2 linked regions of the Oryzias latipes genome follow. The main gene of each other region encodes a partner of the protein of the gene in region 2 in a complex. Links are inferred from orthologs where the notes say so. Each region holds a gene or a part of one and is shown on either strand. Other genes may lie near its edges. The genes, in order: pes1 and bop1.

Region 1 (16,520 bases), on a different chromosome or scaffold from region 2:
CTGCAGGACCTGGTGAGAACAATGATTTTTAGAAAATATTGTTTTCTTCTTTAAGCACTTTCACGTCTGCGCTGTAGCATCATCTTCTGTCTTCAGTTTTAATTTGAAATTCTTTTACATGGAATTAGAAACACAGACAGCTTCACAATTGGATTTTATTTTTTTAAGAATTCCCAGCACCTCCGACTTCCTGTCTTGTTCACTAATGTTGGTCCCTTTTGCTTTAAAGCATTGTCCTCTGAATAAAAAATAAAAAAAATTCTGTTTTAAGGTGTGCAACAAATGCAAAGGGGTGAAGGAGGCCAACATGCCGCTCTACTGCAGATGTGCTGGAGACTTCAGCCTCACATTCTCAGCTAAGGTTTCTGCTCTCAGATTTTTTCCATCCTTCTATTTTACTGTTTAAAGCATCAAACATTGAACATTTCTTCTTTCCTTTTAAAGAGCTTCTCTGAGCAGATCATGGTGTTTCGGAACATCGCATCCCACTATAACATGAGGTTCCTGGAGGAGACCATTGACTGGCTGCTTGCGATGAGCCCTCAGATTGAACAGAGATGCAACTAAAACGCACTTCAGGAGCTGAGATGTTGTCATGCGACAAGCTGGAGGACATGTGTTTAAAGTTTTATCTTTTCTATTTGCAATTTTATCATGTTAATGAATAATAAATACATCTGTTGAAACTCAGTTGGTGTGTTTTTTATGAGTTGATTGTATCTATCGGTACTCCGGAAGCTTTCTCCATCTGTAAGCGCATTATCTTACTTTCCCTTTCAGCCAGGAGCTCATATGTCTTTTATCCGTGCGTGACCTCAGAGAGGAGAGCTGCAGCTTTTGTTTATTCTGCCGAGAGAACAAATACGAGCCTCTTCTCACAACCTTGGTTGCCTCGTTGAATATTTAATAAACGTCTTTATGTTTCATGGGTTTCTAATGAACAAAATTGTCAACTTCGTTCAGATTTTTTTTTGCCTGCTTTCAAGTACCTTTAATTGCATGTCATTAGTGAGCTCAGGCACAATTATGCATCCTCAGAGAATCTCACTGACACCTGCTGCTCTTGCAGGATGACGCATGAGGGAATACAAGCAGTTCATGGCTTAGGAGTAATATTTTAAATTTACTGTTGAGCTCAGCCTCTGCTTAATTTAAACTCTACAAGTCACTTTAGGTGACCTTGGTGTACCTTTTTCTCTTTTTTTTTCTGTTTTAAGTTTCTTCATGCGTCATTTACAATCCTCTGTGCATCATGGAAGATATTGATTCACAAGCCTTGAGTCTCGAGTTTTAGGATGGACACTTGCAAAGCTCTCAGACACAGATGGAATCACACTCTCACTCCACAACCTTGTTAGAGAAGCATTTTTTATGGGAAGTGTCTGCCTTATTTGATTATTTTTCATCACTCTCCTCACAATCCCTTGCATCCTCTCGTTTTGCAACACGCACTTGTGTTAAGTCTTTTTTGTCCTTTAGAATGAAACTCAGAAGAAAATAACGCGTCTGACTGATGTTGAATGCAAAATTACAACCCAAACATCAACAATTAAGTGATTTATTATTGGACTGAACATTTGGGACACATGCTCTTGGTTTGTTAGATTTAACAACCAATTTTAGCTTCTCTGTCATGAAGCCAAGAATATATATTTAAATCCAGTGAAAATTAACACATAATCTGTGCAGTGTAAGTATTCTTATTTGTAGGCAGCACATAGAGAAAAGGACACGTTTAACAACTCGTTTTCCCCCCCAAACACGACACAGTTCTGTGACCCTGCAGACCCTTCAGGAACCTCTTTGAGCTGCTATGGTCAGTCTTCCACTGAGGATAGAGGCAACCTAAGATGCATCAAAGTGGTACGCCGTCTGACAGATCAGAGTGGTTGGAGCCAAAGCTGCCGATGTAGCTGAGCTCTGTGTGGACAAGATCTGTGGGGATGAGATCTGCAGGCTCCTGGATCACCTGCAGAAGATGGTTAAGATTCAGTTGAAGGCAGATTATACATGAAAATGTGGAGGAATGAAGAATTAAGATTAATATACATATATTGCTTGGAATCTCCAACCAAAGGCAGAAGCTATTTCTCTTACTTCATCAAATTTTCTATCGCTGTACACTTCATTCTTGTCGATAAATGTCAACATGATCCAGTCACAGATGATTGTACACTGCAAGTGAGAAACAGGAAGAAATTAGGAACAAATGCAAACCATTTCAATATTTCAGTAAATCTTTTTAGTCAGACTCACAATCCCAACTGAGGTCATGGCCGTAACTGAACTGATGATGGTCGGAATGGGACTAAACTTTCCAGCCTGCATGGATGCAATAATTAATCATCTCATCACGCTGGAAATGAATTAAGCTGAGAAATAGGAGTCCTCTTACTTGTCCATGAACTATTATATCAAGACGGATGCCATAAGCCTTGATGAGTGTCCGAGACTCCACTCCATTTTTGCTGTAATATTTGGCAAACCTGGGAAATCACATGGAAAAAAAATTATATATATTGTTGTTATATATATATATATATATATATATATATATATATATATATATATATATATATATATATATATATATATATATATATATATATATATATATATATAGCCGATTTTTATACGTAAACACAGATGTCAGTGATGGGTGTTGATACCAACCTGTAGTAGTACCCTGAATTGTCCTCGTCTTTTCTAACATCGAGACGGCGGAATGAATATGTGGGTTTACAATATGAAGGATTCAGATCTAAGTTACAGTCCCAGTTGATGAAAACTCCAATTACTCCTCCCTGAGAAAAAAGATTATGTAAATACATTTTTTTCATAAGAAATAATAATATAAAAACAATAAATAATGATAATCAACAATTAAATGTCTTTCTGTTTTACGCTTAAAATAATTCATTTAGGTGCAAAACCAAATTCACATATAGAAATGCATTTTATGACAGTAAAAATAATAATAGAGGGGTCTTATTGAGGTAAAAGATAACACCTTATGAAGTCAAGTATATTTAACAAAAGCTGTTGCAAGCACAGGTTGATATGATACTTGAAACTTTTTTTGTTGCAAAACCAGTTTGGGTCCAACATCTGACATGGTTGCTGTGCTGCTTCATACTCACAGTCCTGCAGAGCTCACTGAAACTCTCCCTTGCTTGACTTGCAATGTATCCCAGGCGGAAGTTTGGACAGTAGGGATCTGTCTCCTCATTATATTGGCACTTATTTAGGTATTTCCTTTTGCGGCGCTTGCCTAAAGAATCCTCTATATTTCCCCTACAAATGAGATGACCTCAGTTATTCTTCATGAAGCTTAATGGAAGAAACTGGTGTGATGTGTGTACAGTTTTGAGAGGGACCCACCTCAACACTTTAAATTTGGGGAAGTGGATGTAGTTCCTGATGAACACCGTAAAATTAATGGCTTCCACTAATGCTGGTTCTCTGTTGAAGGGAATAAATTATGCTTTATTCAGAGGACGGAAACCTGCACTATTTCAAACACAGAGTGGAAGGCAGCTATGCCCGCTCCGTCTGTGTGTACATGCTTCCCCTTTCTTCTCCAGTTTCCTCTCACAGTCGAAATCTCAGACATTTGACTCTTTTCTTATGCATGTTTACTAGATAAATCAGGGGCTCACATCTAGAACCACATTTTCTGGCATCTTTAAATCAATTCTTTTTATACATTCGACAATTATATGCATTAAATTATTCTATAAGTGTAAATGTGACTTATCACTCTTATTGCTCTGTACCTGTTGGACTTTGAAGTAGAAGTGTAACAATTCATTTGAACAATAATTTGATTCATATCAAAATTTTTGGTTGCTGATACGATTCATAGTCGATTTTGGTTCATTTTGAACGATCTGATTCACTGACTGAAAATGGATCCAGGACATCTTTATCCAAAAATTCAACCAGTGTGACTCAGAGATAAATACCTGAGTACTGAAAAGTGCAAGTGAAGTTTTCCAGATTCCATTTATTTCTTGCAAGATAATCAAGTGTAAATTAAATATGTGTACAAATAAGTAAACAAGAAGTAATGACAAATCCATTCAACTTTTAGTTTCATGTTGTTTTTTTCCATTTCAACAATCCAAAGGGAACATTATTAGAACATTCCACCACACTGTATGGTCACACAATTCAAAGTGTTTCCACACATTGGACTGGAATGACAGCATGACCCCCGCCGCAGCAGCAGCGGCAGCCGGAACCCCCCAACGCCACACGGCAGCAGGCAGGGGACAACCGCCCCCCGGGCGATCAAATCCGCCACCCGGGCCAGGACCAGCACTTGGTCGTTTTTAAGTTATAAGAGTAAAGTAAAGTAAAACAAACCAATCATTACATTTTGAAAGGATTTTACAATGATGCAGGTCTATTCGATTTGATTTACAACTGGATCGCAGGAATAAAAACTGATTCATCGATTAACAGATGAATCAAGTAATCGTTACACCCCTGAAGGCTTTTGGCCTTTTTCAACACCCCGTAGCCCCAGTGCATTCGACGGAAATGCTTGTGTAGACTGACAGAAGAAACTGTTCGGATGTCAAACCTCCTGATTGTTTTAGTTCCAAGCTGTGTAAGTGAGAAAACTAAAACGGCGCTAAATCAGGATTAAATAAGTAAAACAGATTTACAGATTTACTTTGAAGCCAGTGCATTTTTTCCCCTAATTTATTTATTTATTTATTTTGTTTTTGTTCAACTTTTTCGTGTCCTTACGATTCCAAAAAATGAACCTGATCTTAGTGTGTTTAAGGTATTGGTTTCAGATTGTGAATGACATGTCTTACCGTACAACAGCGTACTCTTCAATGGGACACCAGCTTTGGATCTCACAGGTTTTAAAGGTGTGGTTGTAATACTGAATACATTTCCCGGTTCTTCTGCCTGCAAAAAGAATAAAACGTTCAACTTAAATTAAGAGCGGAGGCTGTGGTGCACTTAAAACAAAACACGTGTAAAGAAATTCATGACGATACCATGGCCATTAAAGTCAACCTCCCCAGGGACGCAATCTGCGTCCTTTGAACAGTTGGCATTTTCAACTTTGTAATACTGTGCAGAAAAAAATGCATCTGGATTTTAGGATCATCTTTGTCAGCACTTCTATTGTTATTGTTTATGAAACCTCAGCTTACTCACCTCCGCACAGGTGCCTTGCTTCTGGTCATATGTGATATCTCTTCTGAGTAATGTACTAATCACATCACCTCCCTATGAAAAAAAGTGAAATGAATACCCAGAGCAGAATCCTCCATCACTAAGTAGTTGTGATTTTGATAGAGTGTAAGTGATATGGGGGAAGACGTTTTCCCAGCTTACTTCTGATGGACTGGCGTACTCCACACTGTCCAGGATGTCATCTCCATGAACTGCTGTGCCTTTCATGAGTGTATAAATAGAGCTATCTGGATGGGTTTCGCTGTCTTGGTATGCCTTCTGACTTATAAAAACATACCTTTGTGGATGATCGGACAAACAAACACAAAAGTCACATCTTCTCCACTGATGGGAAAATGTAATTGGAGGCATCATGTTACATTTGATCTACTCAGCCCACATGCAGTAGCCAAGAAAAGAAAATGACGCACTCAGACTCCGCTCTAGTTATCTTCCTATTTTGTTGAAATAAAAAGCTATTTTGCACTTGATGACTTATACATAAAAGATTAATTTTTCTAGTTTAATCCAACACAAATCACAACAGTCAGTTTACATATATAAAAAAAACAGCATTGTGTACAAATTTCTTTTTTTTTAAGCAAATATACAAACATGCTGCTCACTTACCAGATAAAATAGGTAATCACAAGAAACTGGACCGCCCTGTAAATGACTCCAAGAGTTCTGTTTTTCACGACCATCACTTTGGGGGTTTCGTAGTCCCAAAAACCACTGAAGCACTCCTTTAAAAAGTCATATAGCCCCATGATGACTTTATGAAATGCTGTACTCATATCCAAATCAGTGCTTGAGTCTTTTTATCAACAGAACTTTATCTTGTTACAACATTTCTTCTTCTCCCTGTCTGAGGCTGCTCTGCTCTTGTCTGCATTTTGCTGAAGCATCCCTGACATATGTGAGGGGTCCAATAGACAAGGGGTGGGGCTTAGATTTACAGTACAGACCAAATGTTTGGACACACTTTCTCATTCAAAGAGTTTTCTTTATTTTCATGACTATGAAAATTGTAGATTCACACTGAAGGCATCAAAACTGTGAATTAACATATGTGGAATTATATACATAACAAGAAAGTGTAAAACAACTGAAAATATGTCATATTCTAGGTTCTTCATAGTAGCCACCTTTTGATTTGATAACTACTTTGCACACTCTTGGTATTCTCTTGATGAGCGTCAAAAGGTAGTTTACCTGAAATGTTTTTCACTTCACAGGTGTGCCCTGTCAGGTTTAAAAAGTGTGATTTCTTGCCTTATAAATGGGGTTGGGACCATCAGTTGTGTTGTGCAGAAGTCAGGTGGATACACAGCTGTTCGTCCCACTGAATAGACTGAATTTGTTTTAGTGCTAGAAAAAAGCAGCTAAGTACAGAAAAATGAGTGGCCATCATTACTTTAAGAAATGAAGGTCAGTCAGTCCGAAAAATTGGGAAAACTTTGAAAGTGTCCCCAAGTGCAGTCAGAAAAACCATCAAGTGCTACAAAGAAACTGGCTTACATGTGGAGCGCCCCAGGAAAGGAAGACCATGAGTCACCTCTGCTGTAGAGGATGAGTTCATCCGAGTCACCAGCCTCAGAAATGGCAGGTTAACAGCAGCTCAGATTAGAGAGCAGGTCAATGGCACACAGAGTTCTAGCAGCAGACACATCTCTACAACAACTGTTAAGAGGAGACTTTGTGAATCAGGTCTTCATGGTAGAATATCTGCTAGGAAACCACTGCTAAAGAAAGGCAACAAGCAGAAGAAACTTGTTTAGGCTTAAGAACACAAGGAACGGACATTAGACCAGTGGAAATGTGTGCTTTGGTCTGATGAGTCCAAATTTGAGATTTTTGGTTCTACATGCCTGCTCCCACTGTAAAGCATGGAGGAGGAGGTGTGATGGTGTGGGATGCTTTGCTTGTGACAATGTTGGGGATCAAGAAAGAAAAAGGGCCAACATGTCTGTCTGTCTGTCTGTCTGTCTGTCTGTCTGTCTGTCTGTCTGTCTGTATCTATATCTATATCTATATATATATATAGATATAGATATATATAACAACCTGTAGGATAATATTGTTTTATGCAGCAGTCCACCATTTAACTAAACAGTGCATTCAAACATTGTTATTAATGTTATTTTTTTGTTATTGCTTTTTTTAGTAGCTCGCTCATCTACCGCAGCTTAATAAGACTATTGCGAGCAGGCAGATGAGCGGTCGACTGTGGGTCCTCGTGTCCGCTAAACCCAATCTGATTCTCTTGCGCATGTCAAACAACACGTGCATTTACAGCAAAACATGGTGGTCGTGTTCAGATTTTAACTACCTGACAACATATTTAGTTAAAAACGGTTTGTTTGGCTTTATTTCAGATAAACTAATTTCTTAAGTATGGGCGGCACTCAAAAGAAAAAGGTAAATGCTGGCGTTTTGTTTGAACTCAGTAACAGTTTCCATGCTACGTACGTAGCTAGCTAAACTAGCTTAAGTTTGTTCTAAGTGGTTCATTATGTTGGGCAAACGTTTACACGTGAATGTGAACAGTCAAAATTACATTTAATGCAGTTTACGGAAATTGTTACTGGAAATTTTTAAAACCGTTTTCTTTGCAGTTTGAGAGGGGCTCTGCCACCAACTACATTACACGAAATAGAGCTCGGAAGAAGCTACAGTTGAGCCTACCAGACTTCAGGTACCACACAGCTCAAGTTTTTTTCTTTTTCTTTTTTTTGTAAATAATACCTTTTTTTTTTTTTTTTTTTTTACCACTGATTTGGATGTTTTTTTTAACACGAGGTATTTGTTAAATTATTTTTGAACTGCAACTGAACTGGAGTGTGTGATTTTATGGTTTAATTTTCAGAGATTGTTATTAATGTACCAGCCCCTTTGTGTCTGCACATAACTTTGTGGTTAAGCATAGTTATAATAAAGGTTAACCTATTTGGAGCAGTTTCTTAAAGTATACACTACAGTGTAAAAAAAAAAGAACATGAAAACGTTGCAAATCATAAATGTTGGCAAACATTTATTTACTGTCCTTAAACATTTAACAGTTTGACATTCAGTAAATATAAATACTTGACATTACTTGCTACATTATTCAAACATGTAGTTGTAGAGTTGGATAAGTTAATTCTACCTTAACAGTCCTGGTACATCACCTGTCTGTCCTGGGAGAGGATCCCTTCTTCATCATGTGGACACAGCGGAGACTGTTTCCCCCGGAATCTGTTATTTATTTATCTATTTTTAATAACGTTTTGCTTACCGAGAAGTAGGGTCTAAGGGCAGGGGTGCCCAGTTTAGCTTAGTCTGTTTAGTTAAGTTTAGCAATGACCTACTGTATTTAATGACTGATTTAATGTTAGCCCAATAAGACAACTATTATTGTATTATTGGGCTATACAAAAAACATGCGACCAACAACAACCTTTAGCCTTTAATGCAATTAAAATATGTGCGGGCAGTGCAGCAATGTGCGTCTCGTATTGTGTGTGGCCAACATGATTTTCCATCAGATTTAGTCAGACTGCGATACACACTCATGTCATTTTTTTGTATCTCTGATGACTTGCTTTACTTTTTGTTTTAGACGACTCTGCATTCTTAAAGGCATCTATCCTCATGAGCCGAAGCACAAGAAGAAGGTCAACAAGGGCTCCACTGCCCCCAGGACCTTTTATCTGCTTAAAGATATTCGTTTTCTGCTGCATGAGCCCATAGTTGCCAAGTTCAGAGAATACAAGGTATTTCAAAATGTGTAAATGTTTTTTATTATTTTTTTATTACTTACATGCATAGAGAGAGCACAGTGTCGATTCCCTTTCTCTTCAAAGTGTGAATTAAAGAGCTTGTTGATACAAAAATACATTGCAGAAAATTTGTTAAAATAGAAATGATCACCAAAAAGTGACTAAGTTTGAAATGCATAACTTGTAGTTGATCTTTAATATGTAAAAAACTTTTTGTTTTTGCATTTTTTGCATTACCTGCAATGAAAAGTGAGGATTTAAGAGATCCATTCCTTCTCTGCAGTATAGACTTAAGTGTGCATACTTAATGTGCATGCTCACACATGGATTTGGATTTAAGGACTGGAAAATGTAAACAATATAAGGTTTTAATATATTATCAAACAACTTTATTTATTTTGGTAATAATCTTTTTGGATACTATACAGTCGAAGTGTAAGTTAGCCTAAAAATTTGTTCTTTGTTTTAATAGATATTTGTACGGAAACTGAGAAAGGCTTATGGAAAAACGGAGTGGTCTGCAGTTGAAAGACTGAAAGAAAACAAGCCAACCTATAAATTGGACCACATCATTAAAGAGAGGTGAGACTGACTTAAAAAGTGGGGCATAAGTAGATTTTTCTGTTAAATGAACCCATTGTTCTGTGTTTTTCTAGTTTTTAAATGTAAGACAGATAAACCTACCTCTAAGTCAATTGCTTTCTGTTGTAGATACCCCTCCTTCATCGATGCCCTCCGTGATATCGACGACGCCCTTTGCATGTGCTTCCTCTTCTCCACATTTGCCAGAACGGGAAAATGTCACGTCCAAACAATCCAGCTCTGCAGACGCCTCACTGTGGAGTGGATGAACTATGTGATTGCATCACGCTCTCTCAGAAAGGTGCAGCTTTACTGAACTCTTTCACAGAAAAAAATTACAGTTCTGTGTTTTCTGACATACAACCCACTCTGTTCCCGTTAGGTTTTCGTCTCCATCAAGGGAATGTACTATCAGGCTGAGGTGATGGGACAGCTCATCACATGGCTGGTGCCCTATCAGTTCTCCCATGATGTAAGTCAAATTGATGAAATGAGGTTCATAAGGAATATACCAATAAGCAGTGACAGCAAAATCAACAATGTTCTAACTAAACACAGAAAGTCCCCAGTTAATTAGTAAAGCTGTTTACATAGTTTCCAAAGTCTGACATCATCTTTTTATATTTACTTTTAAATACCATCTAAGTCATTTAGGAACCAAAACATTTTAATTAAAGGTGATTAATTTCCAGTTGAGGTGCAGACGCCGAGACTCCTTTATGTTGACTTGCTTCAGTGCCTTTTCATTGTTTTCCAAATACTGATGTCCTCAGAAGAAATAATTCTTCTTTACAAATAGACAATTTAACAGCTAAAAGAGGGAGGAAAGCTACATAAACGTTCATGTGATTTTTGATCATTTTTATAAAGTGTAATTTTAAACTATTTTTTTGAATTATTACTCAAATTATATGTTGAAATGTTTCACTTTGACACAGTTATTTGGTGAGTAGACCTTTTATTTTTCTAAAATAATATTTTTGCTGTTTTAGCACCCAACAGATGTTGACTACAGAGTCATGGCAACTTTCACAGAGTTGTACACAACCCTGCTGGGGTTTGTGAACTTCAGGCTCTACCATTCCCTCAACCTGGTCTACCCTCCAAAGGTATTTTGAACTGGAGACGATTTTAAGACATACGTATGAGCTCCACTTTGAACCTACTCTGTTTTCACACAGCTGGACATTAAAGCAGAGTCGGAGCTCAAGGGAGAGAATGAAGATGAATATGCTATGGACTCAGAGAGCTACCCCGAGGTTAGTTTTTATTTATTTGTTTCCCACAGTGAACAGCCTAAAATGCCTGTTTTTATTTACGGCCTTTTGTTTTAGTATTTATTTTCTCTTTGACTTTTATTGTGGCCCTAAAATCACATTAACACATTTAGCAAAAAAACTTGTGAAAGATCACAATGACAATTAAAAAAGACAAAACTATTAAAAAACATAAATGAATAAGATTACATTTTAGTAATTGAAGCAATATTCCAGAAGCCAAAACCAAAACACAATACCAGAAAAAGGAAACAAAATAAAAATGAAACGTTTCAGAAATTAAAATTAATGTCCAGAAACAAAAGGAGAAACCAGGAAAGGTCGGTATTGTGGGTCCTAACTGATTGAATGATGACGTTTGATCACCTTTTCAACGAAAAGTTATTTGGCATTGTAGACAGAAGATATTTGATTAAACTTCTGGCCTCAGTTACTGCAAAGGGTTGACTGCTCATTCTACTCTCAACCACAGTTTGGGCAACACATTCTTCTGCTTTCCCTCTTCTTCAAAACTCAAACATCTTCATCCAGTCAGTGATACCCACCTTTCTTGGTCTCTTATTATTTAATGTTTAAACATTTCATTTTAATTCTGGCAATTCCTTTTGTTTTCCAAAAATGTTTTTTTTTTATGGTTTGGTTTCTAAAATGTAAAATATATATATATATAGATATATAGATATTTTTTTATCATTATCATCTTTTTGTTGTTGTTTTGATCTTAAATATGTTTTTGCATTGAATGATTTTTACTTCAGGTCCACCATAGACTTTTCCTTTATTTACATAAAAGCAGGATCAAACAGGATTTAGGCATCATGGTGCTAAAATGGATGGTATTTTATTAAACTAAAACTTTAGTCTGAGTTTTTTTCCCTCTTTTTCTAATACTGTATAAACATAAATAAAAATGAAGTAGATGACAGGGGGAAAACGTGATGTTTTATCTGTGCAGAAACTTGCAGCTCTCAGTGCCAGCCTGGCCCGGGTTGTTTCTACAGCAGAGGAAGAAGATGCTCAGCTCGATGCGTTTCCTACGGAGGAGGCAAGACATGTTTGGAATTTTTACATTTGTTTTTATTATACTTGATACAAATGTTTATTTTGTGGAAAAACTCCAAAACAACACCAAATAAATTCATAGGACATTCATTACTCTCTCAGGACAATTGGGCTAAAAAATTAGAATGTAACCAGGGATTTACAGCTTTATGTTTGTTTGCCATTGGTGCTTTGGTTCTCACCTGAGAAGCTTGTTTTGCTTTGCCAGTTTAAAATGGTCATCTAGGAATCGCGTAACACCATAGGGACTTCATATGGCTCTTTAAAAAAACAAACAAACATTTTTTGAGAGCCATAAAAGTCATTAGTGCAGTTTAAAGAGCCAAGTCTAAACTAACGTTTGGTCTTTTCAAAGACACTCATCTGCCTCTGAACACCACACTGATGATGGTACAATGCAAAGTTCTGTCAAATGTGACAAAAAGAGGATTAATTACCTAAACATTTTACTTTTGAATTTTTTTTTTTAATACTAGTTTGTGTCATGAACATGCATAATGAATATTTATGAATTTCACTCTTTTAAAGCAATGTTTATTTCTTAAAATAAAATAAAGAATTGTCATTTATAATTAATATAGAAAAATGACTTATTTTAGGGTTAAGGGTCAGCATTTTCGGTGCATAATGGAAAGCCTTAAGTTTAGCCTGCATCATCAAGAAGTGAATTAGGATACATGCAATTAATCTTTATCGCTCCATTTATAAAGGCAAAATTAAAACTCATCAGTATTTGAAACTTTTTTTTATTGTTATTTTTCTTCTCCAGGAGGATTTGGAGAAAGTCGAAGCTCGAGAAAAGGAGCAAATGCAGCTGGAAACCCAAAAAAAGATTTTTGAGGGACTCAAGTTTTTCCTGAACAGGGAAGTTCCCAGAGAGTCACTGGCTTTTGTCATCAGGTAAACACACTTTTGGGAAATTAAAGCTCCATTCTGATGAAAATTGTGTTTTGGTGTTTTTATGGAGTACATGTATAGAGGAAAATTATGCCCGGAATTGCATTTCTGAGTATTTCTTTATTCAAATTGCTGTGAAACAGGAGCAGACAAAAAAATGCCATTTGATAAACCTTGTAGGTGTTACAATCAGCGGCTCACAAGCTTCCTGTTCCGCTCCATTCTGATGCACCTCAACTGAGCTGATATCTGGCTCAAAACTGTACGTCTGGATATCTCCGATATTGCTCGCCGTTTTTGTTGCACCGGTAATATTAGGTGGGGGGGGGGGGGGGGGCTGTTAGCTAGCAGGAGAACACATAAGCAGAGAGCTCAGTTATGGGTGACGGGAAATGGGGGAAGGTTGCTCTCGGAAAACAGTCAAGAGGTGAATTTCTAATGAACTCCTGCCGCTCCGCAGGAAATATGACCCAGAAAACGGAGCAGGTTTTACTGATTTTAGCTAAAAATGGCATAATCATAATTACAAGACCAGTGGGAAGGAACGCTTAATAATAAATCCAAAGATGATCGGAGTGTGACCTTAATCATAAAGTAATGGTCACAATAAATCCAATAGCTTTGCTTCTGCCTTTCAGGTGTTTTGGTGGAGAGGTGTCCTGGGACAGGTCTGTCTGCATTGGGAGCACGTATGATGCCACAGACGAGACGATCACACATCAAATTGTGGACAGACCTAATGTGGACAAAAGCTACATCAACAGGTGAAGAAAACGATTTTTGATGACATTTCTGATCAGATGCAGTTTAAAAACTAGAAGGAGCTGCATTTCCAGAAGAAAATGCAGGGTTGAATGCTATATTTCTGAATGAAAACTTAAAGGGTCATAATTGGCAAAAATAAATAAAAATTGAAGTGGACCATAAAGGGAAAACAGCACAATAACAGAGTATATTTTTGTGAAAAATGCTAGCGCTGGGTATCGAACCAGCAAGCCCCTGCACCAAGGATTCCCCGTGTATTTCAATGGAGGCAAAAATCCAGGAATATCTTGAAATTTTCAAGGATTTGAAGGACCAATAGTCAAAGCTGGAAAAAGCTGAACATTTTAATAGTTGAATGGTTAAAATAGCTGAAAAATTGTGGGAGTTTAGCGCCAAAAAATGGTGGAGAATACTATAATAAAGAAAGAGAAACAGGAAAACAATGCTTTATAGCATTCAACCAAGTTACGTTCTTTACATACATGTAAAAACTGACTGGAGAAGCCCCACAGGCTGCAATCAAAACCAGCAGCTAACAGAGTCACAGTACTAAAGCAGCTCATTCAAGAAAGGCAGAGAGTCCACCCATCTTTGGTTTTAATCTGACATAATTATTTTTCATTGACAGTTGTTCCAAGATTTCACATGAAGCCAAAACAGAGCAGTGTCTTCATATTAGGAACTTTAGTATCTGCAATATTTGTATATCTTCACAGCAGGTTGACCGTTGAAATGCATAAATGAAAAAAGATGGCCAGCCACTTCTGCTTTTGGTTTATGTATTTTCCAAACCCAAAGCAATTCTTCCAGCACTAACCAACAAAGAAAAAAAAATTAATTTAAGTTCTCCATCCAGCATGTTCAAGTAGCTAAAACTTACCCCCTGCAGCATCATTCAAATGACCAATTCAAAGCCAAGTATTTGATCTATGTCGCTGCAAGAACAGCTGTTGCGGTTTTTACATACAAAATTGTCACAGAAAAAAAGTCCCTGAGTTCCAAACTTGAAATAAAATGTTGAATCCAGGTTGTCTTGGTTGTGTTTTTCCTACATAACTTCACTAACACCTTCATGTTTAGAATATGCCATTCTTAAAATATGTAATGACTAAACAGGTAGAAATGTTTACTAAAAGGCCCTTATCAATCATTTCATGTGTTGCAAACATCATAAAAGTCTTCTTTGATTTCCTTGTTTCAGGTACTACATCCAGCCCCAGTGGGTGTATGATTGTGTTAACGCCAAGGTGCTGTTGCCCGTGGAGGATTATTTTCTTGGGGTGACCCTGCCCCCTCACCTGTCTCCATTTGTGGAGGAGAAAGACGGGGATTATGTGCCCCCAGAAAAACTGAAGATAATGGCTTTACAGCGAGGAGAGAAACCTGGTGCGGATCTACCCGTTAACTGACAACTTGATTATTTTCTGAAAGCATTTCTGTTATCAGTGTCACCGCAAATGTCATGGAAAAGTGATGAACTTTTGTGGTCTTAGAACGCTTGTTCTCACCTTTTTTTTCTAAATACCATTTGGTGTCCTAGCACAAGAACAGGATGATGATGATGATGATGATGATGATGAAGAAGAGGAGAATGATGAGGATGATGATGAAGAGGATGAGGAGCAAAATGAGGATGACGAAGATGAAGCAGAGGAGAAAAATCTTAAGGAGATGGAAAAACAAAAATCCCAGGGAAAGGTGAGTCATTTCTGTTCTTTTGTGGCATTTGTCATGCTTTCTTTTTCTTAAAATATATTTATATTTTATATTTATTATTTTTTTACCTCTCTATACCTTGTTGCTTTTGTTTAAGTCTCTGCAAGTAAAAGTGACACCTGGAAAAATGAAGATGGAAAATCCGGTGCGCTTGGAGCAGGAGGAGAAGGCAGAGGAGAAGCGTCTCGCCATCATGATGATGAAGAAAAAAGAAAAGTACCTTTACGACAAGATCATGTTTGGAAAGAAGCGGAAAATAAGAGAGGTGCATTTCATTTTTTTTTATTTAAACAAGTGTCCAGTTCTCAGAAAAGATAACATTTCTACATATTTCTCTCTGTTTACTCGGGTATCAGTTCTTTTTTTTTTTATCTAAAGATAACCAGCATTGTTCAGCTTCTCTGTAAAGAGCAAACAGTCCCAGCGATGCCCCCCCCCCCCCCCCCCTGAGTTTACATAGCTAGAATGGGCACGGTTGACATTTTTGTTTATTACTTACATCTAATCTCTTCCAACAGGCGAACAAACTCGCAGCGAAGAGAAAAGCCTTTGACGACACCGAGAAAGCAAAGAAGAAAAAGACCAAAAATTGACTCATCCTGTCCATTGTTCTTTTCCCCATCAGCCAGATTTTGTGTATAAAAACTGCATGTGATGAAAGCTGTTGTTTTTAAAGCTACACATTTTGGACTAACTGACCTGCAGAAAGTCACATGATTCTAAAGTAAATAAACAAACTTCCTCATTTCTTATGAACATTCATATTTTGTAAACGTTTTGACTCCTTTCAGTTCAAGTTCTCTATCATTTGGTACTTTAAGTAAAACAATCTGTTGTACATTTATTTGAGCAAATGTTGGATGTTTTTTTCATCGGTGGTGTTTGGAGGGCCTCACTGCTGCAGCTGTGCAGAAAATCTAAATCCAGGCTTTGGCCTGGGTCTTTGCAGTGGGCAGATGCTCAGGTCACTCTCCTGCTGCTGACGCCGGCATGGATGCTCTGGTTGGTTTTGCGTTTATGCGGGGGCATGGATGACGAATGAAAATATTCCCTCTGCCCTCGGTTTAGTTCCACGGTCATGCCCTGCACCCTCCTTGGTCACTGTGTGATACTTGGGGCTTCTCTTTGACTTTTTTTTTTTTAACACCCAGACCTCCATTGCTTGTGTGCCCACCCCTTTGGGTCTCAGCCTGGCACGTGTTGCTTGTAGGCAGAGGCATAACAAAGGGAGCAGTGTTGTGCCTCAGCAAGTTGAGCATTT
Region 2 (16,430 bases):
GAAAATACAGTACGTCACATCCGTCCTTTCAAACTAAAAGCCCATTCCTGTAGCGTTGATTTCACCAACTTTTTATTTTATTTTATTCTTATTGAACTTCAAAGGATGACACGTACACATTCACATAACTACAATAGAAAGATATAAAAAGAAAAAAGAATACAATACAAAGAAAAAATAAATAAATAACATTAGAATTGTAGCTCACACTAGGTATGGTCATACAACATGTGATCTTCAATGAAAATTGACAGTTTTATTGCATTTCTGTTTTTCTTGAATTCCAAGGATTTAAAATGTAAACAGATCTCTTTATGAAATGTATTGAATAATGATTTGATTTTAAAAAAATCTGCTCTCATTGATGAAGAATTTCCCAGAATTTAATAAAGTATCAAATGCCAAATCAAATAAATTATCACCAGAAAGTACTCACAACTGTAACGGAATAGAAATAGGAAAAGGAAACTTTGAGGAGCACCAACAAACACAATACTCCCAAAAACTGGTAACATATGTACATTCAAAAAACAGATGATCAAGTGATTTTATATTTATTAACAGTTATTTTCTTGAAAACCAAAACGTAAATGTAGCAGTTCCTTGCATGGGTATACTGCATTCATTGTTTAAAATGGGTTTCTTTGTATTTTGGAAAAATTGGGTTTTTAAAAAACTTTTTTGTGTAATGCTGGGACATAGAATGAGTTTTGTAGAATGTTGGAAACAGTTCTCCAACAAACAAAGAACGTATTACATAAGTTTGGAAGTTTTGAATTAACCAGTCGACAATCAAACAACAAAGATGGAAGCAGGAATTTTGCAGTCTTTGATTTTGGAAATGAATCTTTTTGAATTGAGTGGCAACTCAAACACCTCATCTAACACAGTATGTTAGGGAAGTTAGGGTCATGCTGCTGAAGGAAGCGACACACTGGAAGGTACTAAAAAAAGTGAGAGTGAGGCAGACAAAATTTGGAAGCAAGATCATTGAAGCTTGCAAATATACCGCTTAGGTACATGTCCTTAAAGTTGATTATACTGTACCTTAATCACTTCCCAAATCATGAATACGAAGTCTGTCTGACCAGGGAGAAAAAGGTGATTTTTGTGTATAGGACTAGTGGTAAGCACTTGAGTGAGTCCATACGTCTGTCTGAATTGAAACATAATTTTAAAGGTATTGGTAACTACTGGATTGTGTGTAATATAGTGTGAAATGACACAGGGGAGACTAGATCCAATTAGGGCTGTCAGAGTTTTTGTATTATAGGAGGAGGCTTCAAATCGATACCAGTTGATGTCATAAGCTTGGAGCCAATCTATCGTTTTTTGAACATTAGAGGCCCAGTAGTATTGGCACAGGTTTGGTAGGCCTAAGCCACCTTGATGCTTAGGTCTTTGTGATAATTTTAAACAGAGTCTTGGGGTCTTACCGCTCCAGATGAATGAAGAAAAGCTTTTGTCGACAGATTTAAAAAAAGATTTAGGGATGTAGAGGGGACGCACTGAAACAGGTAAAGGAATCTGGGAAGTATATTCATTATTATACTATTTACTTTCCCTGCAAGAGACTGGTTGAGAACTTCCCAGTTCTTCAGGTCTTTCTTAACCTTCTCCAGTAAGGCAAGGAAATTTTCTTGGTACAGACTTTGCATGTCTCTTGTGAAGTGTTGTGATACTTAAAACCGTTTCTGGACATCTGAAACGGTAAGGCATTGTCATGTCTTGTAATTGAAGTGCTAAGTTGTTGAGAGGGAAGCACTGAGTCATCAAATTTTTACGAGACTTTTTGTAAAATATTAATTTGTTCCTACATAAAATATACAGACAGATCCATATGGGAGTGTTGTGTGGGCTAAAATTATGTCTGAATAGGAGTTTCCAGTGCAGTAATGATCATCCATCAATGATTTCACCAACGTGCTTTAAAAACCTTCTTATATCCGCAAAGGAGTAATTAAATACAAATTTTTTATAAACTGTTCTGCACAAGTCAGGAAAAATGCATATTTCTTTATATAAATGTTAGATTTTTGTACAATATACAATACTGAAAGATAACAGGCACAAATAAAAATCATCTCAAGAACAGCTCTAATCTTACTGTAATAAATATTTTAAACATTAATAAAAAATGTTATTGCAGCTGCTGAAACTGCACTAAGTCTTTTTAAAAACTCACTGTATTATGTTTATAAGATGTATTTTTTAAGTGTATTTATTATAATTGCCCTTGTTTTGCAATTTTACCACTATAATTGTAAATACTTGTTTCAAAACGACTGATGCACCTTTTACTAGCTGTCAATAATTGTAATTGAGTAAATGCATTTTTATGAATGAATGATGCACTGACCAAACTTTCATAATGCCATTCCACAATGACAAAGTATGTTTATTTGTTATTTTTGTTGTTTATGTTGATCATCCATCCAGTTGTTTGTTTTTGGTGTGAACTTCATTACTTATGTCTGTATTTGAAAAAAAAAATGAAAAAAAGTTTTTACATGTTTTTTACAGTTTACATGTTTTGCAGACCACGTTTTTTACACTTTTGCAGCTGTATTTATTTAATGTTAAATATTTATTTAATATGAATGTCATTTCTGATGTCCTTTTTTGACGTTATATTATATAGATTATTTCTGGATGTTGTTTTTGCTGCCACAGATAAATGAAATTTTCCCATTGTGGTATTAATAAAGTCATCTAAATAACAAATAGTTTGATTAAAAATGAGTAATAATTTACCAGTATTATTGGAAGAATATGGGGAGTACTTCTCAAGTAATCTCATTACTGCAAACACTGTTAGATTTCTTGAAATGAACCACTACTACTTGATCAGATTAAACTGCTGTTTGAAGTGTAATGAATTATCAATCAAAACAGAAACCGCTAAGTAAGAATATTACTATTTATTAAACAAACACATTGATGATGCTAGAAATTACACATTTTCTGTAGTGGAGAAACAACAGACTATAATATTCCAGCTATGAAAATGGACAAATATTTTGAATTTCCTGCTAAAAAAAAGCAATCCCGTCTTTATTGTAGATCCGACACAATTGGAGAGGTTTTCTAGGTGAAAAGCCGGACTGTCGCATCAGCTCCCGAGGAGAAAATCCAGGGTTGTGTGGGATGAAACGTTACATCCAGAACCCCAAGGTCATGCGTGATCACATGACCTCTTAGGACTTTCACAGGAACGATGAGCGGGTTCTGAAGCAAATCGCTGAAAGAGGAAAGAAGAGTTCTATTAAACCTGCATGCATCAGAACGTCATTGAAAAGCATTATGTACACTGTATTAGTAAAAGTAAACGCTCATCTCTATTTACACTTTAATGACAATACATTAGCAACCAATAGAAAGATGTTGGTCCTGCTGCCATAAAACCTTTAACGGCCTTTTGTGTCATAAATGCAGCTGTACGGCCTAAAAAAACCCATATCTATGGAAGCATTTGTGTAGCATAGTTAAAAAGAAAAGTCAAAACCAGAAATGCTTTTTCATTTTCAAAATGAAGCTGCATTTTTTGACTCAAGATTAAAATGAAAAGGCAATCTGCCAAAATGCTTTTTCATTTTCTTCTTCAACACTGCTTATTCTGTCTAAGGCAGAAATGCTGCTACGTAGTCCTGAGAAGCTGTGTACAATCACCAGGAGAGCACAACCATCACAAAGCCCTCTCCTCTGCCGCTAACACAAAGCTCCACTGCTCCTAGCATGTGTCTCTTAGCAACCGGACACACGGAGAAAGCACTGACGTCATCGCCCCGCCTCCCCTCTGGAAATGCTTAGTCTAAGTTAATTCTGTGACGCTATTCGCAGGGGTTAAAATGAAAATGCAATCCCCTCTTTGCATTTTCATTTTAATTATGACACAGAATAAGCGGTTTTTAAGTAGAAATGAAAAAGCATTTTGAAATATTGCTTTTTCATTTTAATTTTGGGTCAATTGATGCAGTTACATTTTGAAAATGAAAAAGCATTTCTGTTAATCCATTTTAATTGTCAAATTAGACATTTCTAAAGGAATTTTGCTACACATTTACCAGAAAACTTATTCAGAATGAAATGTTAAATACCATTTTCTTCATCATTTTAATTAAGTGACAGAATACGCGATGTTGATGTAGAAAATGAAAAAGCATTTCTGGATTTGACGTTTCTTTTTAATTATGCTACATGACTGCTTCCATACATATCACGACGCTTTCTTTGCACTGATCTTAAGCTAACGTGAAGTTTGTGGGGCTTTAGATTGATAATTCTTCCACAAAGGTGTGGAGACAGTTTCCGACATGCTGCGATTTTATAAATTCCTGACCATTTAACATATAGGAATACCTGCATTTAAGTATTGACACTCCTGTCAATCATTTCACAGGCTTGTATTAAAGACTTACTTGTAAACGGTCCCGTGACAGACGATCACCGTCCCATCGTCAGAGGCTGAGGCGAACAACGGGTAACCTTTGTGAAAGGCCACGCTCCTCACTGCCTTCTTATGGTGTCTGCAGACAGGAAGTGATTATTGCATCTTTGTCATCAGTCTTGAATGGGACGAAATCCCCAAATGTGGACGTACCGTAGAACCTTGTATGGTTTTGTTGAGAGGTCTAGGTCAAACCAGCTCAGCTTACAGTCGTAACTCCCACAGATCACATGATCACCTGTGCAAAGACAGACAGGTGACATAAAGGCTCCATTCTGCTGTTTTTATGGGAGGATTTTAGACTCTACCTACCTCCAGGGTGGACTGCGATGTTAGAGATCCACTTGGAGTTGGCCTGAAGTTTTTTGGCCATTTCCTGTTTGACTAAGTTGTAGATCCTGACGTAGCGTTGCGTTGCCACGAAGAAGAAGGGCCTAATCGGGTGGAAGGCGACGCACTGAACAAGACCTTTGTTTTTCCTGAAAGGGTTCTGGCTCCGCCTCCGGCTCAGCTGGTGAATAAACACCTGCAGGTGACTGGAATGGTCTGGCATCACAGAGGCCAGGTAGTCTCCTTTAGCGTGCCACGTCACCTGATGGACGGCCTGGGAAACGAAAACCAACCAGTCAGTTCACCGGTTTGATCACGCGATAATTCCCGTCACTAATGTGGAATTTCTCACTTTGGGATGCTGGATTTTAAGATGGATCCCTTCCTTTAGCTCCTCCCCCTCTGTCTCAGACCAGACCACAGGTTGGGGACCTTCTGACGGGTTCTCCTCCTGGGAACCAGCAAGCAGCCGCTCCGATGAAGAGATGACCAGTTTGTCCCCCAGAGACGGAGACAAGATCAGGACCGTCGAGTCCCTGGAAGCAAAACACAAACAAACAAAAAATGTTGAGAAGAGAACATAAAACAAAAAAAATCAAAGGAAGAAACATGAAGATCCTTACACAGCAACAGCCAGCAGACACAAGGCCGGGTTTGGATTCCATGCCACGCTCTTTACGGCTCCGCCCACTTGGACAATCTTCATGCAGCGAGAGGAACAGACCTCCCAGAATCTGACAGAACCGTCATCACTACCTGTGCACACATTAAATAAACACTTTAATAACAGCTTTCAGTAAAAAATTTTAGACCAGAATCCTGCAAAATTCTATCAAGCCTGCGACTAAAACAAGTACTTATCCCTTGTTCAGAAGTTTGGTCCCTTTTGAAAAGTGTTGCATTTAGATCTTTCTTTTTGGCTTATAAGCACCATTTTCTGAGTTTTATTATATCCAGAAGACCTTATGTGATAAATATACCATGAAGAAAATGATCTTTTTAAATATGTTTAGAGTTCTCAAACCCATCTGTGATTGGGTAAAAAGTTTAGAATCCTGAAAGGAGCAATTTTAGAGATGTTGCTGTTATTATCATGACTAGAATAAAGATAAAAGTAAAAAAAAAAAAAAAAAATGCTGGCAGACATCACCTGATGCAAGCCACTGTCCGGATGGAGACACGCTGACGGAGCGAACCAGACTGCTGTGACCTCGATACACCTGAACACGGGTAAAAGCAGTAGGTCATGTAGCTCACATCGTGTCACGGATAAATTCAGCCAAGAATCAGAACTACGGAAGTGCAAAACACATCAACAAATTACTCCATCAAAAAGACATATTAAAGAGCATCACCCCCTCCTAAACCATGAAAACGAGTTGGTCCTCACATTGTGACATCACAAAGTGAGGAACAGCCCCTTCCAGGAAGAGTCTGAGCTGCCAGCCCCGCCCCAGGCTAACACCCACTTTCTCTGTGTCGGGTAAACACTTTCCTTTTATATTCACATCCATCTTTGCAAAATTTTAAATGTTTGTTTTCGTGGGCGAGACGCAGACACGCTGCCGAGGCCGAATCTAGGTTGACGTCATGAAATGGGCGGCGCCCACAAGGAGCGAAAGGGGGAGCCTCAGAGATCAAGTCGTCTTACTTCCAGGTAGGAAAATGAAAATGCCAAAATGACTCCTACGTCATTGAAAAAAACCTTCTTTAGTTTGCCAAAGGTAAAATATTATCATTTACTTTCCCCAAAAGTGATTTTTGGGAAACCACATTTGGGAAAACAAAAGTAATTTCCAGAAATCAATTTGAAATGTTTAAAAAAAAAATGAAACAAAATAAGAAACCAGAAAAGCTAGGTATTATGGGATTTGGCTGATTGGATGATGAGGTTTGAGTTTTGAAGAAGGAGGAAAGCAGAGGGATGTTTTTGCCTGAACTGTGGAGAGCGACACGGCAGGCTGCCAGGTACCTCGGCTCCATGGTAGCCTATTTGTTTTTGTGTTTTGTTGTTCTCTGGTTGATTTTTATGGAATTTTAGTGCTCTATATTATCACTTGTTTCTCCATCATGGGATCAATTTTTCTAACTTCCAGTTTAAGCGGTGTACAAACGTCATCATCCAATCAGTGACATCCCATAATACCTTTCCCAGCTTCTTATTTTCTTTCATTTTGATTACTGGGAATTACTTCTGTTTTCTGAGACGTTTCATTTTTTGGGCGAATTTTGTTCATCTTTTTAAAGCTTTTTATTATTCTTTTTAATCTTGAATGTGTCTTGGCACTGAGGGATTTGTTGATGTGATTTGTCCTTCAGGGCCACCGTACAGAACAGATCAGAGTGTTAGCGGTGCGTGACTCACCAGAGACTGTGTTGTTGGAAAAGGCTGCAAGTCCTTGGGTTTAGGGAGTTTGGGAATCAGATCTTCTGGATTCACGTTGACCTGCAGACAGTTTCGTATGAGAGAAGAGCTTCCATCTGTTAAGCAGGCGGGTTAGTTAATTAGTTAGTTACCCTCATCTTCCTCTGTCGGGGACACAGATAAAGATCCAGGCAGCGCTCAAACTTCTCATGGATGAACCGGGAATATGCTGGAACCTGACGGAGGCTGGAGAACTTCTTGGGAATAAATGGCAGCTTTCTGTCTTCGGGATCTTGTTGCTCCCACAGCGCTTTCTGTGGAACGGAGGCTCAAAGACTCATTTACTGAGAAACAATATGCCTTAAGTGGGACTTTGATTTGGCCCTCACCTCTTCTTCAGTGAACAGGTACTCGGGTGGGGGGTTGTAAGACTCCTCGTGACCAGGGAGGCGCAATTTGGGGGCCGGCAGGTGCATCCTGTGCTTCGCCAGAATGGACGAATCCTCATTGGCCCACAGGTCATAGTAGCGCTCTTTGCTGTCGTCCTGCACTCGTCTTGGTTTGATCCAGCCCATTTTTATGGCATGAACCAGTTTAGAAACCTTTAGACGGCAAAATAGATCAATGGTTAGGCGATAAAAGCAAATCTGCAGCATTCTTCTCACTTTGTTACCTTCTCCTTTTCAATCAGGGATGGTATGAAGCTCCGTTTGTCTGCAGGTCTGTTGGTGACTGGATGAATCATGACGTCGCTACTGAAGAACTCCACTGTTGGCTGAAGAAGACAAGGAGTCAAACTCAACAGCTGCTACTTCAAAGCTCATATATGTGGTTTCCACTCGGGATCAGCTTAAACTGAATGGAAAAAGGAGGGATGAGGAAGCACCAACAACAGACTGTCCTGGAGCAGATATGACATCACCATAACCTCTGTCTCTCAATGTCAATCATTTCCTGGTACCCAATGGGCTCAGAACTCCACCCCCACGTAAAATTGGGATAACTCAGAAAATTCTAAGTTGAAACTATAAATTGAGAACCGGAAAAAACCCACAAAAAAAAACCAGCAAGTGTGTCATTACTTTTCATTTGATAACAGTTTCAGGTTAAGTTTTTCTTAAAGTTAAGTTTAGAGTATTTCTTTAAATATAAACTATATATTTTTCAAGCTCACCGTTTTTCAAATGTTCAATATTTATTTCACGTTTACAGCATACGTTGAGGAGTTTAAAACTATTTCCGAATTTATAATTTGGATTTTTCGTTCACTTTAAGCTGCTCTTGATTTGACATTTGGAAGAAAAAAAACATTTTTTTCTTTTAGTAAAGACTAAATGTTGCCTCTATGATAATGATTACTGTTTATATATGCATACAGAGGTATGAATATATATAATAGTATATACATATATATTTTCACGTACATAAATATATAAACGGTTAAAATAGATGATGTCAATCTTGTCTGAACAGAAGACAAAACGTATTTCTCCGTCAGTACATATGGAACAGGTACAATGGTTAACCAGCTTTATGTCACAATAACCTAAAACTTCAGCTGATAGGTCATTTTAGACACTATCTTCCCTCTGGTTCTTCAAAGGCTGTGGGACATGTGGTCAAATTTGAGTTATTGCTTGTTTACTTTGTAGTTTTTTGCATATTTTTTGTCTTTTTAATTTGTTATGTTGTGACATATCTTAGATAGTTTCGTTTTTTTCGTTCACTCTTTTGACGCCACTTTGTCGCTACCGTGTTCCCTGCAGTCACTTTTTCCACCCCAATATAGTATTTTCTCCCACTGTTTTTAATCAGAGGCACTCTGGAATTTCGTTTAATTTCAAAATGTGTGCAGCTTGCGACTAAAAACAGACGTTTGTCAAAAAGATGTCAGAAATTTCATATGAATCTCTGGAAACTAAGCTTAACTGTTAGTCTGTCTGCTTTGTAAATTTTTCCAGATTGCACATCGATGACCAAAATACAATATCTCCTATCTGCAAATTGTTAGATTTTGAGTTTTTAGCATTAAATGCTGAGAACAAGGACAAATTCACATTTTAAGTGAATCTGCAAAAAAGTCTTATGACCCGAAAGTCACAAGACAAAAACCTCACATCACCATCGGCTGGAATATTTGAAACACATTTTTCTTGTTTCCTGAAAAAAAAAGATAGGTTTCAGGTAGGAGCATTTGTACTTAGGCTCATAAATACAGATTCCTCTGAAAATACCACAAAAAAAGCCAAAAATAAGGATGCAAAGCCTCCCTGAGCATACCTGGTACTCATTGAAGTTGATGTCTCCAAACTGCCCTCTCTGCAGTCGGTTGACCAGATCCACCTGCTCGTCTGACAGCACAATGTCTCTTCCCGTCTGCTTGTCGTGAACTGTCCTCCTGCACGCACAACCAAAACCGTTAGCGTTTCCTGTTTGAAACTGTAGAGGACGCGGAAATGCGCTGGCTAGCTGACCAGTAGTCAGGATTTTCCATTTTATCCAAGAATTCGTCCAGCTCATCCTTGTTCCTGATTGGCTTGAAAATCTTCTTTCCATCTAGATCGTAGCCAATGTGAGGGAAGTCTTTGTACCATTCCATGGGAATGTTGCCCACTGTGTTCCTGATGTCCTGCAGAAGAATCAGAACCAGCACATGAGAACCTTTTAGAATCCAACAGAAGAGTTCAAGCAAGGAAACAGGACAGAGGTATTTAAAGAAAAAAGGTGGTTTGCAAAACAAATAAGGTAAAACACAAACATGCATATAGAATTATACAATAATAGACTGTGTAAAGTAAGGTAGGTCCAGATCAGAGGGCAAGTGACAAGAAAAAAACAGACAAACTTTGTTCTAAAATAACCAATAAAATAAAAAAGGGTGATCAAACATCTACATGCAAGAAGCTGAGGACGTACAGGAAATTACTAGAAAAATAAAAAGCGAATAAAAGTGACAATCCGAGGAGATCACTAAAGAATCCCAGATGCCGCTACTCCTACCTCCTCATCCGAGGTGTCATGCTCATACTCATCTCCTTTCTTCTCTTGTTTTCCTTCAGTTGCTCCTTTCTTGTTTTTGTTGTTCTTCACTTTTGTCTGCAAATGCGACAGATTTTCAGAAGAACCATAATAATATCCGGTCGCAGTAAGTCCACAGCAGCAAACCTCACCTGCTGCCTCTGTTTATCCGGATCATCATTTGATCCATCAGCTTCCTCCACATCATCGGAACTTTTCTCTTCAACGTCTGACTCTTCATCCTCAGAGTCGCTCCCGGAATCCTCCAGTCCAGAAAATTGACTGTCCTCACTGTCTGACAGGTCATCGTCGTCTTCATCTTTCTCAGTAGCTTTGTTGTTGATATCAAAAAGCTGAAGACAAACACACACAATCACTGTTTATGGTTCAATTCCCCATAGATGTTTGGCTAATATTAGCATCCTGATTCATTGTATGTAAAGAAATTCCAAATTCTATGATGCTCTCACTGAACTCTATTCAGAAAACATACATTTAAAAATAAATCATGCGGTTTTTATATTGTATTCCTATAAGTCTGTTTATAAACAAACTATATGATATTTTCACCGCTTAACAGTTCGGTTGGGAAAATTTGTTATCAGCAATGTCAACGTTTTTAAAAGCTCCAGCCTGTTTTGATTTTGCTTATTTATTAGCATGCTAGCCGCTAACAAGCAAGTCCTAGCTAATTCACAGAGTAATTTCCCGCTTTTTCCCTCTAACAGTTAGATTGCGTTTCTCACTTCATCTTGCTCTTCTTCCTCCACTTCCTTCGTCTTCCTCTTCGTTTTCTCCCTGACTTTCTTCATTTCTGATCTCTGTTCCATGCTCTGCACGTTTTCCAGCTCCTGCTTCGCGGACCCACGTGGAAAACCCGCGGGGTCAGAGGTTATGCTGGCCGAGAAAAACGAGAAGACACGAAGGCAGCCTCCGCCCCCTATCGGTCAGATGTCTTCACTGCACGTCCGGCTGAACAATAATATTGTTCGTTGCAACCAATGAGTTATATCACTAGAGGAGACACGCCCGCTTTAGAAGCCTGGCCGTCGGTGGCGGAGCGCGACGCCATCTTGGTGAGGTCGACGACGCCCACATGACATTGATTTCTATTGATTTTAGTGGTGTCTAAGTAGCTTTTATAAACTGTATATATTTTTAGATTTAAATATATTTATACATATATATATAAATATATTATATTTTATGTATATAATATATATATATATATATATATATATATATATATATATATATATATATATATATATATATATAGATACATCATTTGTTGATGTTAAAGAAGAGAAACAGTCAGCCTTAAAAGCTCAAACTTGAATGAAAATGCATTGTTGCAGGACTTCTTACAAATAAAAAAATCAATAGTAAGTCAATACAAACAATAAATAACAATAAATAAATAACAAGTCAATAAAGAATAATAAAAATAATTATATTATTATTATTATTACTATTATTATTATTATTAATAATAATAATAATAATAATAATAATAATAATAATAATAATAATAATAATAATAATAATAATAATAATAATAATATTCAAAATAATATAGACAATAGGACAATAGATTTACCCTAAAAAAACAGTCTGGCCTCTTATCAAAATCTGTTTCCACAAATGTTTTGAACAGTCAGACTGTATTACTAGTTGGTACCACAGTGATCCATCTGGGTTAACTCTTTTTATAGCTAAGTCCCACTTTTTCCTTCAGTCTGAATCCATTGGAATCCTGCAAGAAAAGTTCAGTCACTGAGTCAGAAATGTTTAAATCTATATTACTATAATAGCCTAGTATGCTGTATACAGGTTTAGCAAAATAAAATCTACATTTATATTGACAGCAAAATAAATGTACATCATGCAGCATGTTGATAACAGCCCTGCAGCATCATGCATGTCAACATACGTTCTATTAATGAAGCCCCTGCAGCCTTAAAATAAAAAAAAATAAAATACTTACCTGTGAAATGATACACCTACCTCCTTCATGGACTCATTTATCTGATTTTGGCAGTTGAAATCCGCACAATGAACTGGCATTATGCAAAAAATGTGTTCACATGCATGCACTGCAGCAGTGACTTGACCTCACCAAGATGGCGGTGCTCTCCTCCCATGAGGAACCACGTGATGTCTCCTCTAGTGATATAACTCAATGGTTGCAACTGCCTAGGAGTGAGAAAACACAGTTTCCATCCATCCATCCATCCATCCATCCATCCATCCATCCATCCATCCATCCATCCATCCATCCATCCATCCATCCATCCATCCATCCATCCATAGTATGGCAGCAATTAAATTTAGCCTCAGTAATTATTTATTAACTTTTTTTGTTTATACTTTAAAAAACTCAAAGTTTTAAATCATAACCACCAAATAAATTGTTTGATTAGGAAAAACAAACTTTATTGTTTAGGTTAGATATTCCAACACAATGAATTTATATAAAATAGCACGCTGATCTGTATTACTGGCCTTTGCATCACTTGTTTTGCGAAATATATTTTTTCCCCTCAAAAATCGTTATTGAAGATATACAGGATCACAAAATCGAGTCAGCTTTAAAGTACACTGATAGAAAAATGAGTAACAAAATGTGCCAAGGGAACATAAAGAACAAAGGAAAAAAGAAAAGAAAAATGATTATAAAGAAGAGAATTGAAAGCAGTAAGTTGCTATTCTGTACATTTAAAAAATTCCAGGGTGTCAAAGGTTCTTATAGCTTTGGGGTTAGAATAAGATTTTGTTGTTCTGGTTTATTTGTTTAATTCAATAATAAAAAGTTTGAATAAGGCCTTTTTTTCCCAGAAAATTTGCATTTAAGAATATGAAATTTGGCTAGTATTATTAAAAGGTTAATTGAGTAGTATTCCTTTAATAATAAATTTTTAACATTTTAAAAACCAAATAATATATCTTTGTATATCAGATCAAATTATTTTTTAGAAATTTTACACTGAACAAAGAGGAAAAGTCTTTCCAGAAAGTTTCTCTTTGGGGGCATTTCCAGAATAGATGCGTGATTGTTTCAGTGTCTAATTTACAAAAGGAGCAGTTTCTATCAATGTCTATGTGTAGTGAGGATTTGGCTGTGTAGCATCTGCGAAGACGTTTGAAGCAAACATCTCAGGGTTTATTTGAAATAAAATATTTGGAGGACAAAGTCCAAACTTTCTTCCATTCATCTGGGGCAAATTTTCTCCAATAGTGGGTCACGTAGGGTACGACTGTAGGGATCTTATTTGTTTATTTCTTGTTGAATTTCTCATAGTAAAGCAGATCTTGCAAATATTGGTTTCAAATAAAGAGACTGAACGTGAGGGTAATGGGTGCACAAGACCTTTAAATAACATTATAATTCCTTCAGGAATAGCATCCATGACTATTGCAAATTCTTTTGGGGGTAACTGGAATATTATAAGTGATTCATTAGTGTTGTTTTTTTGCGAAGTATTTTTTCCCCAGCTTTATTGAACATAGCATTAACATACAAAATCCAACATCAAGGAATCAGACAGATCATCAGCAGTGGTAATCAATGCCATCATTCGAAGCTCATTAAATCACCTCAAGTAAAAATCTTATCAGAAATGTATCAAAAATAGAAATTGCTGATAGGAAAATAAAGTATCTTAAAATATATAAAAGGGGATTACAAAATAATAATAATATTGTTTACAATACAAAGTTTTCTTAGAGGAGGGGATTACCTATCAAACAAAAAAGCACAAATTGTTCCAGTGTTACTTACTTTGGGTGTGTTATCTTTTTTAATACATTCATAAAACTGAAATATCTCGATCTTAAATATAGTAAAATCGGGAGTTTTTTTTATTTATTTCTGCACTTATGCATGTAAAATTTGGATTGGAGAAGTAAAAAATTGATACTTTTTTCAACCTTTTTATCATCCGAATTAAAATATGTGAAGATTTGTTTCAAATTTAAAATAATGTTACAGTTAAATTTGATGTTTACAAAGCATTCTAATTGGTTCCAAAATTAACGGGAAAATTTACAAAAGTAGAAAAGGTGAAGAACTGATTCAGGGAAATAAATACAAAAACCACCATTATTTTCTATATTTGAGAATTTGGACATAACCATATTTGTGGGGTAAATGTTATGTAGATTTTTTTTTGGTGTATTTCTTTAACTTTGTTATTTATACAAAAATGTTTTGCGAAGTATTTTTTTTAACAATAATAATACTGTAGTGACGGCAAGGAAGCTCCTTAGGCGGCCGGTTGTTCAACAGCTCTTTATTGAGATTTCTGTATCTGATAACGGTCACAGCGTGACTAAACAGGCACAGCCAGCTACTACTAACTTCTGCGATGACGCGCACACACACTCTTCCACAGGTAGACCCCGCCCCCTCTCTCCATCAGTCACCCGCCCACCACTGATTGACACACACACAGTGGTCTAGCAACTGACAGAAAGAGGGGGGCGCCAGCCACCTGCAGCTCTGTCTAAACCCTGGGTCGTTACAATACATTTTATTTAAACTAAGAAGGAACATGCAAAACAATTATCTTAAAGGAATCCACATGGATGGACAAAACTTCAAATGTTTTGCGAAGTATTGCATTATGTATTGCGCTGTCGTGACGCAATCATCCTGCGACAACTAGAAAGCTGCGCAGTTGTTTGCTTTATCGGATTTGTCGGAATTTTCCACTACGGAGTTTGTTTAGAGGACTTTAAGAAGATATTATTGAAAAAACTGGAACTTGCTGGGTTCTGATTCAGAACAAGGGGTTTAGACGATCTAATTACACCACAGTGGGAGCTATTTTGGCAGTTTATTTGTTGTGTGTGTGGTCCTTGAAAATGGGATCTACGGTAGGCTAGCTGTTGTTAGCATCGTTAGCTCAGGTTAGCTAAAGAAAAAGTCCAATTGGGGTTTTTACTACCGTCGTTAGCATGGAATATACTGGAGGAGTTGGAGGAGGGGTGGTGGTGAGTGGAGGAAACGTCCCGGCGTTCTTAACAAAACTCTGGACTCTGGTGGAGGACCCCGAGACCGACCATCTCATCTGCTGGAGCCTGGTAATCACCTTAGCTTAGCCTTAGCCTAGCATATCCGAGGGAGCGCACGTAGTCGTCCACAGTTGATTCAAAGAACGCAGCCATAACCTGGAACTCAACTTAAAGTCTCGTTTTGTGTGTATTAAGATAAAGAATTACAGCTAATATACACAAACATACATCCTCATACTTTGTAATGTGTTGTATAAGTGTAATAAAAAATGTTATTAACCACACACGATTTAGACAATTACAACTACAACATTAAACATTAAAAGCAAAACCGTTCCAAGTGACATACAACTTCAAATAACAGTGGACTTTTATAAAGGCACAAATTTTAGGACAAAATGGTTAAAACTCACACATCGGTATACCCATAAACAGTGTCATGGAATTTCTCGTAGTTTAAAAAACCCAGTAACTTCAAAAGATAATCCTGCCGTGTACTGAATAAAACTACTACATATAAAATACCAATATATGTGAGATGTTCTAGGCAGCATAAGGTCTGTTTAAGCTTTCACTCCCAACTCGTTTCCCACAAGCTTGAAGTGTATGTTGGGATAAATATGGAAATATTAAAAAGAACATCTTTAAGCTAGCAAAACATTGAATATTCTTATGCGTTCGACTAACTATCTTATTTGTTCTTATTTTTGTTTCAGAACCATAGGTGTGAGAATGAATACCACTAAAATGTAATAAGAATGGACAGTTTGAACATTAGTTTCACTACGAAAGGTTTCTGTGTTTACATCTTTCACATACTTTCAGTTCAAACTTAGCTTTTTAAAAGTTATACATATTTCAAAAGTTATACATATGATCTCATATTGTGTGCTTATTAGGGCGACTATTTTAGCGGTAACCTATAACGTGACCAAGAAGAGCGCCTTGGCCGGCGTCAAGAGTGACATTGACGGATGGAACAGAGAATCGGGCAATTTTTCAAAGTAAAACATCTTTCAGATTCCGAAATAAATAAAACGGAAGTGATGTAAGTTATTTATTCTTTCTGTGCGGCCCGGTACCAAAGGACCCACGGACCGGTAGCGGACCGCTGCTCTAAACCACAAAAATTGTAGCCTCCTTGAAAACAAAATAGTGCAATTTTTTTCCAGTTGTAGCCACAAATTGAAAAAAGAATCATAGACCCACTCTGATAATATTTTGAGCTACTTGTTGAGCTTTTGTTTTATTTTT

The links.
Region 1: bop1 (region 2) and pes1 share a complex: the UniProt entries of both Homo sapiens proteins name them as parts of the peBoW complex. The link is inferred for Oryzias latipes from reciprocal best matches to the Homo sapiens genes BOP1 and PES1.

The regions. Positions count from the first base shown.
Region 1 is NC_019867.2:13,296,759-13,313,278, forward strand, and holds pes1 (pescadillo homolog), read left to right. Parts: upstream 1-7,423; 5' UTR 7,424-7,596; coding exon 7,597-7,620; intron 7,621-7,817; coding exon 7,818-7,897; intron 7,898-8,800; coding exon 8,801-8,954; intron 8,955-9,432; coding exon 9,433-9,542; intron 9,543-9,671; coding exon 9,672-9,843; intron 9,844-9,924; coding exon 9,925-10,014; intron 10,015-10,534; coding exon 10,535-10,651; intron 10,652-10,723; coding exon 10,724-10,801; intron 10,802-11,774; coding exon 11,775-11,864; intron 11,865-12,650; coding exon 12,651-12,781; intron 12,782-13,416; coding exon 13,417-13,542; intron 13,543-14,744; coding exon 14,745-14,929; intron 14,930-15,083; coding exon 15,084-15,241; intron 15,242-15,356; coding exon 15,357-15,524; intron 15,525-15,777; coding exon 15,778-15,852; 3' UTR 15,853-16,103; downstream 16,104-16,520. Other genes in the region: pole (DNA polymerase epsilon catalytic subunit A), read left to right, coding at 1-12, 272-361, 445-567; p2rx2 (P2X purinoceptor 2), read right to left, coding at 1,856-1,969, 2,098-2,175, 2,257-2,322, 2,396-2,486, 2,674-2,804, 3,141-3,294, 3,382-3,462, 4,830-4,926 and 4 more. UniProt on the Homo sapiens protein: Component of the PeBoW complex, which is required for maturation of 28S and 5.8S ribosomal RNAs and formation of the 60S ribosome.
Region 2 is NC_019869.2:4,814,897-4,831,326, forward strand, and holds bop1 (ribosome biogenesis protein BOP1), read right to left. Parts: upstream 11,079-16,430; 5' UTR 10,991-11,078; coding exon 10,907-10,990; intron 10,514-10,906; coding exon 10,313-10,513; intron 10,239-10,312; coding exon 10,143-10,238; intron 9,772-10,142; coding exon 9,617-9,771; intron 9,541-9,616; coding exon 9,423-9,540; intron 7,918-9,422; coding exon 7,816-7,917; intron 7,745-7,815; coding exon 7,532-7,744; intron 7,457-7,531; coding exon 7,295-7,456; intron 7,224-7,294; coding exon 7,143-7,223; intron 5,998-7,142; coding exon 5,928-5,997; intron 5,534-5,927; coding exon 5,401-5,533; intron 5,314-5,400; coding exon 5,130-5,313; intron 5,052-5,129; coding exon 4,760-5,051; intron 4,686-4,759; coding exon 4,601-4,685; intron 4,527-4,600; coding exon 4,419-4,526; intron 3,242-4,418; coding exon 3,088-3,241; 3' UTR 2,903-3,087; downstream 1-2,902. Other genes in the region: hsf1 (heat shock factor protein 1), read left to right, coding at 15,120-15,245. UniProt on the Homo sapiens protein: Component of the PeBoW complex, which is required for maturation of 28S and 5.8S ribosomal RNAs and formation of the 60S ribosome.